2 linked regions of the Oreochromis niloticus genome follow. The protein of the gene in region 2 purifies or fractionates together with the protein of the main gene of each other region. This does not show direct contact. Links are inferred from orthologs where the notes say so. Each region holds a gene or a part of one and is shown on either strand. Other genes may lie near its edges.

Region 1 (7,785 bases), on a different chromosome or scaffold from region 2:
CTTTAGCTGTTCTAAAACATAAGTAAAAGTATTAAATAACTGCTTAACACGTAGCTTTGTCACAGGAAAATCTCCCTAGGCTAGTATTGTGCTTACATTTGATTTATGCTGCCTAATGGTGTGTCACTATTACTGCACTATAATCCCGCTGGCACTTTGTTTCAATAGATTTGCACTTTGAATAACAAACTGTGTCATCACTGACAATAACTCATTAGAAAAGAGGGATAGAAAATGCTCTTCATTCGCTTACACTTATAAATGCTGCTCCCTGCAAGCATCAGTGAAACGTTGCCCAGCATTTTTTCCTCGTATCATCAAAATTATTGTTATATTATTGTTGTTGTTTCTTGGAAGTTCACCTATATCACCTTCTTCCCTAGTTTCCACTGATTTATTCCCCTCTGAAGAAACCTTGCTAAAATGAACTCTTTTTAATGACTTGTTTATTTCTTCCAGTCAGTATTTTTCCATTAAAACACCAGTAAAAGTCCTTTGTTGAACAGTCTGTCTAAATGAGAAGAGCCAGCTGTTCACCTGCCACACCAGAACTACCTTTTCTGATATAAATTAATCATCTAAATTATAAATCTATTAATCATTCTATATTCTGTATTAAACTAGGAGTATATAAAACAATCAAATGTTTTACTTTGTGGGAGACAGTAAAAGCTTGATCTACTGGCCTAAGAGACCAGTTGGGTGTACATTGTCCAAGGATGATATTGATCCTTTACTGGGGGAATTTGTTCTATTTACATGTAACCTATTGAGTCACAGCTTACTTACACTATCAAATAAAGGCCTGCAGTAAAGTTCATATTTCTCCCAATCTCCTCCAAAGTTTGTTTAACACAGACAAAAACACTTTGTCACCAAAAATATTCCATTTCACTTTGATCTGGCCATAGTCTAAGTGATTTCTACCTCTCCATCATTAAGCTGTGGTACAGAATCAGGCGTAAACACACCGGGTTAGTTTTAATGTTTCTACAGATCCAGTTTAACATTTCAGAGCTCAAATGTGTAGCAGTCACGTTTTTAATAACTGTTGCGCTGAAAGTGCACTGAGTGACAAAATAAATATTAATTCACTGAGTCACAAAATAAATGACTTTCTGCAGTAATACTCTCAGCTTATTTGCAGAAAAGTTGTCTTTTTTTTCCATATCCTTTATAGACTTTTATCGGGAATTCCTCTGACCGAAGCAGGAGGCACTCAATCGCAGTCAAGTGAGAGTCGACAGAGCCTGAAGCAGAAAACCAGGGTTAAGAGAGAAAGCTGATCATTGTGATTCCCTCTCTCTGATTGTTTTTTTTTTTTTTTTTTTTTCCCCCATTTTACAGCCCACAGACAACAACAACAGTATGAGGGGGGGGGAACCCTCAGAAGTACACACAGGACATAGCTCCATCTCATCCGTCAGTGTTGTGGTTAATGACATGAAGCCAATTTTGTGTTTTGTTCCAAGTGCTGTTTGCACTAATATTACTCTTCGAGGCAGATGAAAGAAAGATGCACATGTAGATGCATCATTACAAGCCAGGCCGGATCATCCAATAGCCATTCTGGGCACAAAACCACGGGTCGACAATGCTTGGGTTACTATCCAGGTAGCACATAAATGTTTCCTCTTCAATTTTAAGTCTTCTTGTTTTTAATCACCCAAAAAAATATATAATAAAATACTCGGCGACTAAACAATTAGTTCCAGGTCTGTCTTTGAGCAGAAGATGGTAAACATTTTGAGTTCACGTAAGTAATTGAAAGCAATCAGTTTATTTCTGACAAAATGTGATCCCCAAAACTAGAACTGCTGATTCATCCATCATCTTAGCAGTGAGAAAACAATGATAGTCCATTTAATATCTGACATTAGATATCAGATATTATATTTGACAGTAGGAAGATGGCAAATATTTTAGGGTTTTTCCTGCTCAGAGTGGGCCTTTGAGGGACAATGCACATAAGCACAATTGCTCTGCATATTGTTAGACAAAAGAATTAACAGAAGTGTATGCAATTTTCAAACAAAGTTGTTAACATCATGTTTATCACAGTAAAGGTGGAAAGCCAAAGGTTTATTTATGCAAAAGAAACCCTGCATCTGTGTCTGTGTTTGTAGCGTCATGATCTGGTCAAGACAACAGGTCGACTGGGAGATAGGAAAAGTTCATGTTCAGTCACGTGCAAGTCAATAAGCCTGCTTCCTCCCCTCATCAAAACCGTCTCTAGGTCTAAGTTAATAATCAATGACGCCTTTGAAACTGATTTCATTTCATACCAACACTAAATCCCTGCAAAGTGAAACAGGGCGAGGTTTGGTTCATCTTACCAGGCTCCTCGCAATTGCCTGGACTTTGCGGCCATCCCTGCAAAAGCTGAAGTGACCTTAAACTCTGTAGTAGACACCAGGAAAATCTGATTAGAAGCTAGTTTCACTGTCAAGCCTCGTGAGATTACGTAAAGCTGGTGATAGGAAGAGTATCTCGGCTAACAAACCTTTCTTCGCACCGTTTCACTGCCTCTGCCAGCAACGTGACAATACTACATGATATTAAACTGTGCACAAAGGGGTGGCGCGGTCAGGGTGGGGCGTTAACCCGAACCTCGCACCACTAACGAAAGCAGCGATGCTGGCTGTGGCTGTAGCTGTTATCTTTAGGGAAATTTTGAAATGATAAGCAGCAACACAATAAACACCGGAAGACGGAAAAACAACAACAACAACGCATGTAAAGCTTAACAGCTCACTTTAACAACAGACTGTCTACAAATGGGTAGCATTGGCCTTAATATTAAAAAAAAAAAAAAAAAAAAAACTCAGTTAAAAAGGGCCATGTTTTAACTACCCTGGTTTAAAGCAGCGGGTGGTTTAGCCTCACGTAGATAAAAAAACGGTGAATACTACAGATGCGTGTGGCTTCGGCCTTGTACAAAGTGAGCTGTCAAAACCAGTCGAGGCGTTGACAGCGTCACGGGCTGACTAGCACTATTTCGCTGTTAACCTTAGCATGCTAACGGCCATCCTAAGAGCATTTTATCTGACGTAATACCCACAAGGAGCATAGAAAAACAACAAAAGGTGAACGTATTACCCTCCAGAGACAGTGTTTAGGTGAAATGGTTCGCCATTGATAGCCGTCTCGTGCGCAACTTACTGGCTAACGTTAGCCTCCTGTGATCGGGGACAATCCCACAGTGACTACGGCACAGTCAGCCGCAACGTCAGCCTTCGGCCTTACCTGCTCGGTACCAAGGGACGCCGCTTCTCAGGTGAATCGGATGGTACTCCCGGTCTGCAACATAAACTCAGTCTGTACTTAGAGAAACATATTAGAGTGCAGTCCTTTCTTCACATTAACGATAACCGTCCCTGTCGCTCAGCGTGGTTGCTAACGTTACTGCTGTCCCCGCCTCTTTTCCGGTTTAAAGAAAACATACGAGCCCTCCCCATCCTGCTGCACGTTTGATTTTTAATCCTATACGGTCTATAATTTTTTGTTTTTAACAGCATTATAGCCTCACTGTAGATTATTCAATTAGTAAGTCACATAAAAGCAAATATTAATTATCTTTTGAGCCTAGTGATCCGCTCTTATCAATATTGAGGATCAGATGTGATGGGACAGTTATGGACTGTTAGAGAAAAAACTAGCAGCGTCTTTAAACTTATTACAGTTCACTTACATGAAGGACAAAACGGGTAGCAATAAAGGAAAAAGAATGATTTGGTGATCATTAAAGACAACATGCACTGTAATAAACCCATCCCAAGCGCCATCTAGTGTTTTCATAGTGAAGAAATCCCCTCTGCAGGGATCCATCCACCCCAGAGTCACCAGTAGAAAAGCTCCACTATCACTATATCAGTGGCACCATCTAATGTCCCAAAATGTTCTTATAAATGGATTATAAACTTTAATGGGCGGTTATGTTACAATGTGATGCTCATACAGCTGGACTGCTAAGTATTTCAACTGTGTTGCTGTCCACTTCTTTTTGGCCAAGTAAATGATGAAGATTGTTATTATTATTTTACAGCTTTACAAAAATAGCAAAAAGCAAAACATGGTGATAGAAATATATGATTATATAATTGATTCAATGCAAAGATAATAACCCAAAAGGTAGAGAGTTATTATACCACCATGTTTCACACAGCATATTATGAATGAGAACAGATTTCTTAAAAAATAAAAATAAAAAAAGATTAAACACATACCAAAGAAAATAATACATTAAGAATAAATTAATAAACAAGTTAATATACATTTGGAGAAACTAAACCAGAGCAAGGCTGCTTTCTCTGATGGCATCAGCCCCAAAGTTCTATCTATGATCCCGAGTCTGTGTGACAAGGTGGCCTTTTGCAGCTGGATCTACAGTGAGGAAGACCAAAAACACACTCCTTTAATGCATGGCCTCTCCTAGAACCTTTAAATGGTGTCCGGACCCCAGGGAAACATTTGCCCAAACACCCTGGATAGGACAGAAAAGACAGGTGAGTAATCATGTCTTAACAGCAAGTTCTTTGCACCAACCTTTACCTTTAGACTTTGCACACACATTTGCATAAGTTTTCCTCAATAGTAGACCTTATTTGCTTCCAGTAACAATTCCTTCCTCCTCACAGACAACCACCACACGTCTTGATGAGGAGCAGCTGTGCATGATCTGGAACAACAGGCTGATTTTTGTGTCGTGGTCTGGTAGTATTTCTTATCTCATTTCAGTGATAATCATTCTTTATTTTTTTCATTTATTCATTTCTGCCCTTTTTGTTTACACAATATAAACAAAAAGCCCTTTTTGTTCCAGTTCCTCGGGTTTATTCCTTTGATAGATGACTTTGAAAGACACAGCTTTTCCTTTCTATATATAATATATATTTATAATATAGTGGATACATTAAAAAGAGGATGTTGAACATGGAGCTGCCAGGCAGGCGAAAAAGAGGAAGTTTTGTAGTTGTAGAGGGTTGTTGTGACAGAAGACAGGGGATGGAATGAGATGGAGGCAGGCTGATCCACTGTGGTTACACCTGAAGGGAGCAGCAAGAAGAAGAAGAAAATTTTCATGTTTATCAATTACTAATTCATTTTGTTTGTACGAATTTAAAACATGAATATGGTGAAACTTTGTCCATCACGGCTTAGAATTCAGTACATTTTGTAAAGATTAAAATCACACTTTTTTAAATTAACGTTTGATTCTTTGTTTTCCTCTTTATTTTTCTTATTTTCTTTATTGTAATTTTCTCTCTCACTTATGTCTGTAAACTAAAAGATAGTCTCCAATTAAACAAAAACTTTGTCTTGATTTTTCTGTTAATATTTCTGATAGATACACATAGTAATCTGTAGTGTATCCAGGTACACCGCAAGAGGGCGCAAGGAGCCCACAGTCGCGTTGAGCGGGAACGTGCTTTTATTTTGAAAATCCAGGCTGGTGCTAGAGTCCTTCACTGTGCGGCAGCCGAGGTCAGCCTGAGGACTAAGTGAAACAGTGGAGCTGTGTCTGCGGAGGAGTATTAAAAAGGTACCGCTGAATTCATGTATGCTTTTAGTTTGTCCCATTCAGCTAAGAGATGAGCTCGAGTTTGTCTGTCACAGTGTTTATTTTCAGCTGGTTTAATAGATTTAGCTAACCCCGGTAGCCTTTATTAGCCTTGTTAGCCGTTAGCTATTCGGGTTGGCGTTTCTTAACCATGTGCTTATGTGATTATCCATACCGGTGTCAGCGTTTTGCCCCAGTGAAAACACTTTAGATGCTCCTCGGGGGCGGTGGGGGGGATCTTATTGTGTCTTGTTTGCTATATAAACTTACTGAAGAGGAAGATAAAATCCGTTAACATTAAAAATAATATCACAATTAATATAATAATACGCAAGTCGATTCAGAATAGATGAGAAATAAAGGAATAATTAATTAAAATAAAAACGAAAATCCGTACGCACTCTTATTAATGTAGAGTTCGAAGGCTTTTTATGTTAAAACTATATAACATTAAAGAGTTTTCCTTTGCTTACCTAGACTTTTTTAAGTTGGGGGGGGTTTAGAAAATCACAAGGTTTTGTTTTGTTTGGGTTTTTTTACCTCTGTTATTGCAGTTTCAGGCTCTCAGATGCACTCTCATACTTCTGACAAACATCATAACCCTTACACAAGCAAACTTTCAACATCTACGACTAACAACGAGCACTGTGTGAGGCTCAGGCTTGGCTTTCAATGGTTGGATCGTTCAGCTGTGAGTGTCTTGTGCAGACTTAGACTTGGCTGTTAGATGGAAGTGTGCATATTTAATTAAGTAATACAAATATTTTTCGTTTTTTACCTTAATGCTATTAAAATTATTACAGTCCTCAAAGTAAACACGGGTTGGTTTTTTTAAAAAATTCCAGGAATTTAGCCCTTATAACTAATTAAGTACAAGAGATAAACACATGAAGCTTTCTAGGTTTAGAAACACTTTCTCAGCTTTTTAAAAGCTGTAAGAGAATCAGTTTTGCACCCAGTCAAAGTGTCACACTCTAAAGCCAAAATCAACAAATCATAGCTTCAACAGCAAAAGTACAGAAATTCAACTTCTCAGTACTCCAAATGTGTTGTCCGTTTTTTTCGATATTTCACTGAAGAAAGTTTCTTTTGCATTAAAGTTTTAAAGGGCGACCACCCTAAACAAGTTGTATCATATGAAATATCTTCTTCTTACCTACATTGTGATAACAGGCTCACCTTATAGCCTAGATCTGTGAGCAGTATTTGGCTTAAATTGTGACATTTTGACTGGGTGTAAACGTGATTTGGTGGTTGTTTTTAACCGAGCTTGGAAGGTGTTTTTCAACCCTGAGAATGTCATGTTTCAGTCTGTTGCACTCAAGTTATGAGGGCTCCTAACTCGGAAAATATTCATAGTATGAAGATAAATTAATTTTCCATGGCTACATGTACAAAGAATGAGCTGTTCCTGAGAGGGTTGGGATCAGATTGGACTTGTTTTGTTTTAATTAACTGACACCACTGCATCTGATACATTTCACAGGCTTTTCTTTCATGGCAATTCTCTTGTTTGTGATATTTAAGAATGAAAGTTTGCATGTTATCAGGCTTTTTTCCCCCCCGACTTTTAATTATATATTATGCAGTTAAAACTGGCTGCACTCACTTTAAGCAAGGTATTCCTAGCAGTACATAGAGAATACCAACAGCTTTGTGTATTAGTGTCATTATATCCCCTTCCTGAGCTTCCAAGGTTAAATCCCTTAATGTCATCCTCTTCAGCTTGCACAGAGCGGTGTTGAGGATAAGGGAGCTGCCAAGTCATGGGCAGAGCGTCACAATGACACATGAGACCCTCACAAGCTCACAGCTGTCCATGAGGACTGCAGCTCTGCGTATGGTTGACTTGCCGCTGTCTGTCTACAGCTCCCTGACACAGGTGAGGATGCTTTTCAACGTGCTCCTAGCAGCTGTCAGAATATCCATACTGCCTGGTTTACAAGAATGAATTATTTATTCACTTCATATTAACCCCCACCTCCCACCTCAGATCAATGGCTTTAGCGTTTTGGGATTGAAACCTGGGGTGCATGCTTGTCATACATGTCTGTATTTTTTTTTCTTGGCTAGAAAACTCAGATGTACTCAGAAATCCATCAGGTGAAACAGTCATTAAACATTTCCTATGATCCAGGCAAAAGTTTGGCTCATAATAGTTCTTGTTCCCTAGTTAAATGTGAAACTGCAACAATCTTATATTATCCACAAATCTGGTAAATAGT
Region 2 (7,718 bases):
AATGATCTTGCACACCGTTTACTGTAAGTCACAAAAAAAAAAATTCTGTTCCCATGAGTATCTGATCTCATGTTAAATTGCCCCTTCGGATTTTATTCTAACCTGCATTGTTTATTAGAGAATTAATGTCAGAAAGTGGAACAGCTAAGGCACTGTTCTATGGACTCCTGAGTGTCTTATCCAAAGGTTTTCTGATTTGCAACTGATTTTACAACGGCGGAGGCACCTGTGAGAGAGCCGTGACAGTGGTGCGCTACTCAGGGCTGTTTTCTTTTTCTTCCTCTCATCTATCTTTATTACCCTGAATATTCACCACCGCCACATCTTGGGTGTGGAACTTTGTTATCGCTTGGCTATTTTGACACACTGTTTATTATTACGTGTGGTTTGTACCCTTGTGCCATGACTAAGGAAATGGCTTCTCTGGTTTCAGTAAACAGTGTACATGCTGAAACAGAGCAACCACAGATTTTAATAAATAAATAGGGCTTGTGCAACAAAGGGCGCTACTGTAACTGTTGCATAGAAGGAAAAGGAAAGATGAATAGTTTTTCTTACACTTACGTAATGGCCATAATGTACTGAGTCACATGTAGCACATAAGTCGGCCACTTAACAGAATGCAAGAAGTGATGGGTTCTGACTGTGCAATAGCAAACTTTAAAATGTGCACTTTTGAATTTATGTTAATAACAGCTGCAAGCTTCAAAGGTCAACACTCAGGATTAACCGCATTATCTGTAATGGCATCCACTTTGCACCGAAAGATTACATATATCTTTTGACCTGACAGCGGAATCTGGCTTAGACAGCATATACATGCTTGCAAGTTTTGACCACCCTCACTTTGACCTAGGTTTCATCAGTAACTCATAGATTACTGTGAAGCTTCATATCTCTAGTGCTATCCGCCCGCAATGGAAACTCAAATGCAAGAGACTGTAATACACTATAGAAGGGAACAGGGCCTCGTAACATTGCTGAGGAGTGAAACAGAGCGACTGAGACGGGTTTTGCCACACCTGCTTTGGATCATTTTTCAGATTTGGACAATCGTTAAAGAAAAAAAGAGCAAAGTAAAGGATGCCAGATTATAGTCTCGGTCAATTTGGAATGTGTTTCTTGAAGCAAAGCATCGAAGAGGTATTACGTTTAACCCTTCACCTTCAATCGTTCTCTGATTACTTTGCTCTTTGTGCCAAATTGGCACGTTCGGATGAAATTTACAACCTCCGACCGCTTCTCCTTTGAAATTCTGAAACATTTTATGCTAATAAAAACTGTGGGATCTTTCTCCAGCTCAAAGATAAACAACATGGCTACAAATTCAGTTGAAGCCAGACAATTAGCAGTCATACAATCCACAGGCCATTTAGTAGAGTAAATAAACTGCTGAGATGCTGCCCTACTTTAACTCCTGCGGAGAGTGACTTAATGTGACAGATGGTCAGCTAAGATGCAAATATTGAAAAGGTATGATGAGGTAGATGTGAAAATTCAAAAAAAAAAAAAATGCAAGAAACACACACAAAAGGGAAATGTGAGAGACCTACAGTTTTGTGTCACTGTGTTTGAAGAGGAAAAGTGACACTTTACTCAGCTGAACAGCTGAGTTATTGTTTCTTTAAAGTCTCCAGAGACTCTGTCAGTCATTTTTGACTGGCCTTACCTTCATCAGCCATTTAAAAAAAAAGTTTACAATAGCAATGTAAACATATCTGGATTTCCTTGTTGACAGAAGTCTCAGTGCTTCAAGTTTATAGGACAGTCGTTATACTCGTTACAGTCATTATGTCTTTGCTGCAATTCCCGTTGGGGTCCACTGCTCTGTCCACAACACTGCAGACCCCTGCTCCTTTCCCCAGAAACCCTTCAGTGGGGTCACTCTCTTCTGAGTTACCTTTACTCCTCCCCTGCTGCTCACTCTGCCAGCTGTGCCTGCTATAGATGTATCCATTCACAGGTCCAGGGTTGCTGAGGCGGTTCCTCTTCATGCACAGGATTTCCTTGAATGCATACCAGAATTCAGGGCTCCGACAGTAAATAAGTGGGTTGAAGGCAGAGTTTGCGTAACCTATCCAGTTAAGTACCATAAAGGTGGTCGGGCTGTTCACAGCCCATATAGCCTCCACCACGTTTAGCACGAAGAAGGGCAGCCAGCACAGAGTAAAGGTCCCCATGATGATGCCCAGAGTCTTCAGAGCTTTGTGTTCCCGAAGGCAAAACTTCGCCTTTTTAAGGCCACGCCCATTATTGGCCTCCAGAGAATTAGTGTTGCTGATGTCGCTGTTATGAAAACGTCCAACGCTTTTGTCAATCTTTTTTAGTTGGTGCCTCGCCTCCTGGAAAACTCGACTGTAGACAAAAATCATGATGACCAAAGGGATGTAGAAGGAGATGATAGAGGAAGTGATGGCATAAGCCTGGTTGGTGTGGAATTCGCAGCAATCAGTTTGGTTTATACACTTTTCAGCTTCCTTATTATCAGCAGTCCACCACATCATGTGGATGGGCAGGTAAGATATCAGTGCAGCAATCACCCAGACCAGCACCACCACAAAGCGAGCTCTGCACTTGGTCAACATTGACTGGTAGCGGAAGGGAGAAGTAATGGCCAAATAACGGTCTATGGCGATGACACAGAGGGTCTCAATGCTTGCAGTCACGCAGAGCACATCAGTGGCAGTCCAGAAGTCACACCAGAAATTACCAAAGTACCACGTATTATTAGAGATAATTTTACAGGCACCGAAAGGAATCACAATCAGACCCATGACCAGGTCGGCACAGGCAAGCGATGTGATGAAACAGTTGGTGACATTCTGGAGACGCTGAAAGCGGGCAATTGCCGTTATGACCAGGATGTTGCCAAAGACAATAGTCAAAACTAATAAGGACATGACCATGCCCAGCAGGATCATTACAGGGGCACTGAAACCTTCATCAGTCCCAGTTGAATTCGATGACGAGTTCATTGCAGTCATATTGGTGTACTCTGAGTTGGTTGTACTTCCCATCTGAAGAGAACACATATGAACAAAACACACACACACACACACACACACACACACACACACACAAACAAAAGGAGTGAATTTTACAAATTACGTTTTTTTTTTAATTCTGCCTAATTACAACAAAAGAAAATGAAAAAAAATGCATGCACTTAAATCTAGCACTAACAAAAAAGAAAAAGGAGACCAAAGCTTACCGCACAAAACCCACATACATAAACTCAGTATATCCAGTTAGTTTCAAGCAAGCTTTAAAACATGCTAAACAAGCCAGACAAAAGCAGAAGTACAAACCTCCACAGGTAGCAGTCGTGTTTCCTGGCTCCCATACAAAGTAAAATGTCACTGTTTAGGTAGTTCCCACAAAGCAGTGAGTATCACATGTCCCAGCTACTTTCTGCTTTACTTGATCTACGCGTGTCTCACTCACTCAGTCCCTCAGCTGAGCAGTGTTTCTTCTAATGTGTCTCCCAGGCTATTTGTCAGAGCCCTTATAGCATGCAGTGATGACATCATGGTCAGTGCTGAGCCAATCAGACAGCCAGCCTGCGGAGGGTGCAGAGAGCTCTCAAGAGTTTGAACACGCTGTCCCTACAGTGGTGTTTGCAGGGCTGCATGAGACAAAAACTGCAAACAAAGTAAAGGACTCCTTAGATTGATCTTTTTTTTTATAGTGTGAAATTAGTTTTAGAAGGTCTACACTGTGCTTAAAATTAGACTCTACTTAAAGTTAGGCACTGCAAAACTACTTGGAGGGGGGGGGGTAATGTGTAATAGCTGCTTTACAGATCTTACTCATTGCTCATATTTCATATTGAAAACAGGCTCAGCTTTCTGCTTTACCTTTTTATGTTTTAATGTCAAAGTAATGTTTTAAAACTATGTATATTTTTTTCTGACCTATTTTACTTGTTGAACTTAAATACTGCCCGCATACTTAAATGTATATTACAGCCCGTTTAGTTTTTGTAACCACAGAATGAAAACACTTAGATTTACATAATGCTACAAGTACAGATGTCTAAAAGTCAAACTAGGGAAGAGTCCCTCATAATTTTAGTCTAGGACTGCACCACTAGTGTGGCCAGTTTGACAGGGACAAGCTGTCACGCTATACCTTATCAAGATACAAAAATGTTTTCAGGATTCAGGACAAATTTGCATTTATATATTAAAAGTAGCTCTGTGCAAATCATAAAAAAACTGGGATGTTTGTTTGTTTTGTTTTTTTTAATATATGTATCTTAAATACTATTTAAATTTTGATGCAGAGAACTTTGTTATCTGTGTTTCAGCCAAACCGTGGCTGATAAGAAAGCTACAGAGCACCTAAACCACAGTACGTTTGTTTGGGTTTGTGACCTGGTTGTGCAACAACTAAGTAGGATGTTTTACCACAATTACTTTCAGTATGTATAGCTTTTTTTTTTTAAATCTTTGAGCATGGAAATTATTTTATATTTGTTTATGTGTTTGTTTTTTATGAACAGCAACTTTATTTCTTATTTAAATAAACATTCCAATGTTCTGATCAAGTTGATCCCACGTTTAAGTTAATTAGCAGCCACAAGATGCAATTTGTTCCCATGTTTTTGTACATTTACATTATATTACACAAGTTAAAAGGCAAACAGTGAAATCTTCAGAGCTAGATAAATAACATTTTCATTGTTTAGGCATCTTAACAATAACTTCATACTTATACATTGTAGTGTCTATGTAAAAGACACTCGAATATACTAATACAGGTTAGTCTGTTTTTCATCTACAACAATTTGCATTTGGTTGTTTTGTTGGACGTCCCCGTCATTCTACATGGATACTTGAAAAGCCTAACATAGAGGGAAACACACCTCCTGCCCTTTCATGTATATACATGGAAAGCCTGAGGCAGGGAAAGTAGTAAAAGCAGCAAACACGATAAGAGTGATTACACTGTAAACACAGACTTCACTTGCTTGTTTCAGCTAACATAGGAAGACTCTGAAAAGTGTGCTAGCAGGTGTAACAGATGTACAAACAAACAAAGCGGTAGTTTTCAAGTGGTTGAGCCATACGAATGGAATTGTGTCTTCAGCCTACACCGGTTAGTCTCCACACTGAAGCACCTGACAGTCGAAGTGAATGACACTGATCATTAAAATGCAATGTTGTGCTAGGGCCTGGCATTTATGTTAATTTGACGCGTGCTACCAAAGGTTACCACTACATTACAATACCACTTGTCAAAATCAGTGACCACTAGCCTGACAGCGTGCCACGCCACACTGCAAAAACTGCTTAGAAACACGTGCCCTGACATGACCCTGCTCAACAGTGGACTTCTCGTTTACATTTTGTGGCAGATAAGTAAAATAGCTAACAAAGATTTATTAAAGATGATTTAACGGTAGAATCAGTTTTCACCAATAGTGACAAATTGCAAACTCGAGTGTAGACTGCAATAGCACGTGATAGCACTAATGTTTTAGATAGTGACTGAATTTTGGTCAAGACTGGCAACGTCCAGTCCGAGTGCTTTCCAAATGGCTTCTGCTGCTTCTGCTTCAGCTTGCTGATGCTGCGAATCCTGATGATGGTGATCGACACAGAAAGCATTAGAGTAAATGAAGTGTGATAACTGACAGCCTGCTTGTACTCATGAGACCGAGAGGAAGTAGTAACGGTAGACAAGGTAAAACGGCTTAAATACCACATCACATATGAGCTTTGCCAATGGCATTCTCAAGCCTAACCAACGGGAGATCAGTGATGAGTGAAGTGATTTTAGTGACAGTACTGTGGAATGGAGTTATGTGTGGAACACACTGTTAACCAGGTTCAGATGACTGTACATTTTGATGAAAATTAGGCTGCTCTATTATCAGCATCACAGCAGTGAAAATGAGCTACAGCTTGTGCTTTTGTCATTTTTGAGCAACTGGTCCAACATTTCAAATCCCAGGTCGAGGTAAGTGTGTCTCAGTTATCTGTGGGTGCTTTCAAGTGTGTACAGGTCCACGCTAAGCTTACAAAGGGAAGTGATGATAGTTTCCAGAGCTCTGATCTTCAAAGAATGCAGACGCCAAAGGCACTGTACTTCCTCTGTGCACTTCCAAGGGAGCTTTGACAAATGCCTATATGACTGATGACGCAAGAGCAAATCCAACCACTCAATCCATATGCGCAAATCCAATTTTCAGCATTTACACAGACATCTCAGTACTTATTTATACAAATATGATTTTCTATGTCCCACTTTTTAAACAAAAACGGGTCAGAGACATGCTGCATACTGCTTGTAACCATGGTGCCTTCTGACTAATTTGAACTTTGTTGCTCACAGTAAACGTTCCAGGCAAAATGTCAGTAACTAGCTACTGGGTGAATTACTCGAAAATGTTCCATAGGCATTCATAGGAAGACTTAAATTGATTTGGTGACCTTTTGTCTCGTTACATATGTTGCTTATATGACAACTTCTCTTGGCAGATTTCCATGAAAACCAGTAGTCATATTCCCAAAATTCATTTAGATGTTTTAATGACCTTTTAATCTATTTCCTTTTACTACTGTGAGGATTAAACTTCCACATGCGCCCCAAAAAGAGGAAAAATGTAAACATGCATTGCTCTGAAATCAAAAGTCCACTCCTTGGGCTTTCCCACTGGATCAGCAGGTAAAAATAGTGCCATGAAATACCCCCAGCTCATTTTACTCATTTGATTTTAGTAACCCCCATAGTCTTATCTCTTGCACAACATGCATGACAAACCCACCATGCTTAGCCTCTAAAGATACGTCAGTATATTATCAGCACCTTCCAACAGTTAGATTGTAAGTTATAATGTACAGCATAGGCATCAAATGCTTTTTTCTCCTTCATGTATTACTTTGAGGAGCTTTTCTGTTTTGCTTTTAATGCAGAAAAAAGATTTTTAAATAATATCAAGAAAGCTTTTTATTGGATGATCAGCTTTAGCGTTGTCTGAGAATGCTGGATTTAGGCCTTGAGCTCGTTTGTAATTGTAGGCCTATGTGGACAACTAAGTGAAACACAGTACATATTAAACTTCACATTGATTTAGTTTAAATATGCAGTACAATAACCTACACTAATTGTAAATGAAATTTCTGTTCTGTGTTCTGTTTTGGAAAGCTTGTTCCAGTGTTGGATTAATCACAACTGGTTTCCTCAGTCTGTGACATCTGTTTTCCTGTATCCTGTCACTCCCAGGCAGAACCGGTTCACATTTGGGTCCTGTCTGCACTTAGATGTTGTGCACTGCTCTATTTAGTCAAACACTGTCACATTAAAAGTGTCTTATCTCTTTACCATCTCCTGTACAATTCCTACTTCTCTTTATTGAAGTTGTGATGCTGACCTGATGGCCCAACAAATTACTCAGCCCCCCCCTCCCAACACCTGTTACAGTGTCACATTTTACTGTGTGTACAGAATTTTTGTACTTGAATTCTAATGCTAATATCTAAGGGTAAGGTAAACTAGAGACGGGAAGTCTTTCTTCACCTGGCAGAGGAATTGCCAGTCTCACGGGAGTCACTTTTTTCTCTGCCTCATTGATTGCAAACATACAAAGAGAAGGGCGAATTAGACTCTTGTTTGAGGAGGTTAAAGGCCAAATACTGTGATGACCAGTGTTGGGACTAACGCGTTATTAAGTAACGCGTTACAGTAACTACGTTATTATTGTGGTAACGAGC

What was found. The genes of interacting proteins can lie anywhere in the genome.
Region 1: the proteins of adrb2a (region 2) and usp33 purify together in Homo sapiens (affinity purification with western blotting; 3 studies listed by BioGRID and IntAct, with this or other methods). This does not show direct contact. The link is inferred for Oreochromis niloticus from reciprocal best matches to the Homo sapiens genes ADRB2 and USP33.

The regions. Positions count from the first base shown.
Region 1 is NC_031982.2:25,335,636-25,343,420, reverse strand, and holds the start of usp33 (ubiquitin carboxyl-terminal hydrolase 33), read right to left. Parts: upstream 3,436-7,785; 5' UTR 3,247-3,435; intron 1-3,246. Other genes in the region: miga1 (mitoguardin 1), read left to right, coding at 7,344-7,442. UniProt on the Homo sapiens protein: Deubiquitinating enzyme involved in various processes such as centrosome duplication, cellular migration and beta-2 adrenergic receptor/ADRB2 recycling.
Region 2 is NC_031966.2:29,906,526-29,914,243, reverse strand, and holds the start of adrb2a (adrenoceptor beta 2, surface a), read right to left. Parts: upstream 3,490-7,718; 5' UTR 3,309-3,489; intron 3,018-3,308; coding exon 1,758-3,017; 3' UTR 1-1,757. UniProt on the Homo sapiens protein: Beta-adrenergic receptors mediate the catecholamine-induced activation of adenylate cyclase through the action of G proteins. The beta-2-adrenergic receptor binds epinephrine with an approximately 30-fold greater affinity than it does norepinephrine.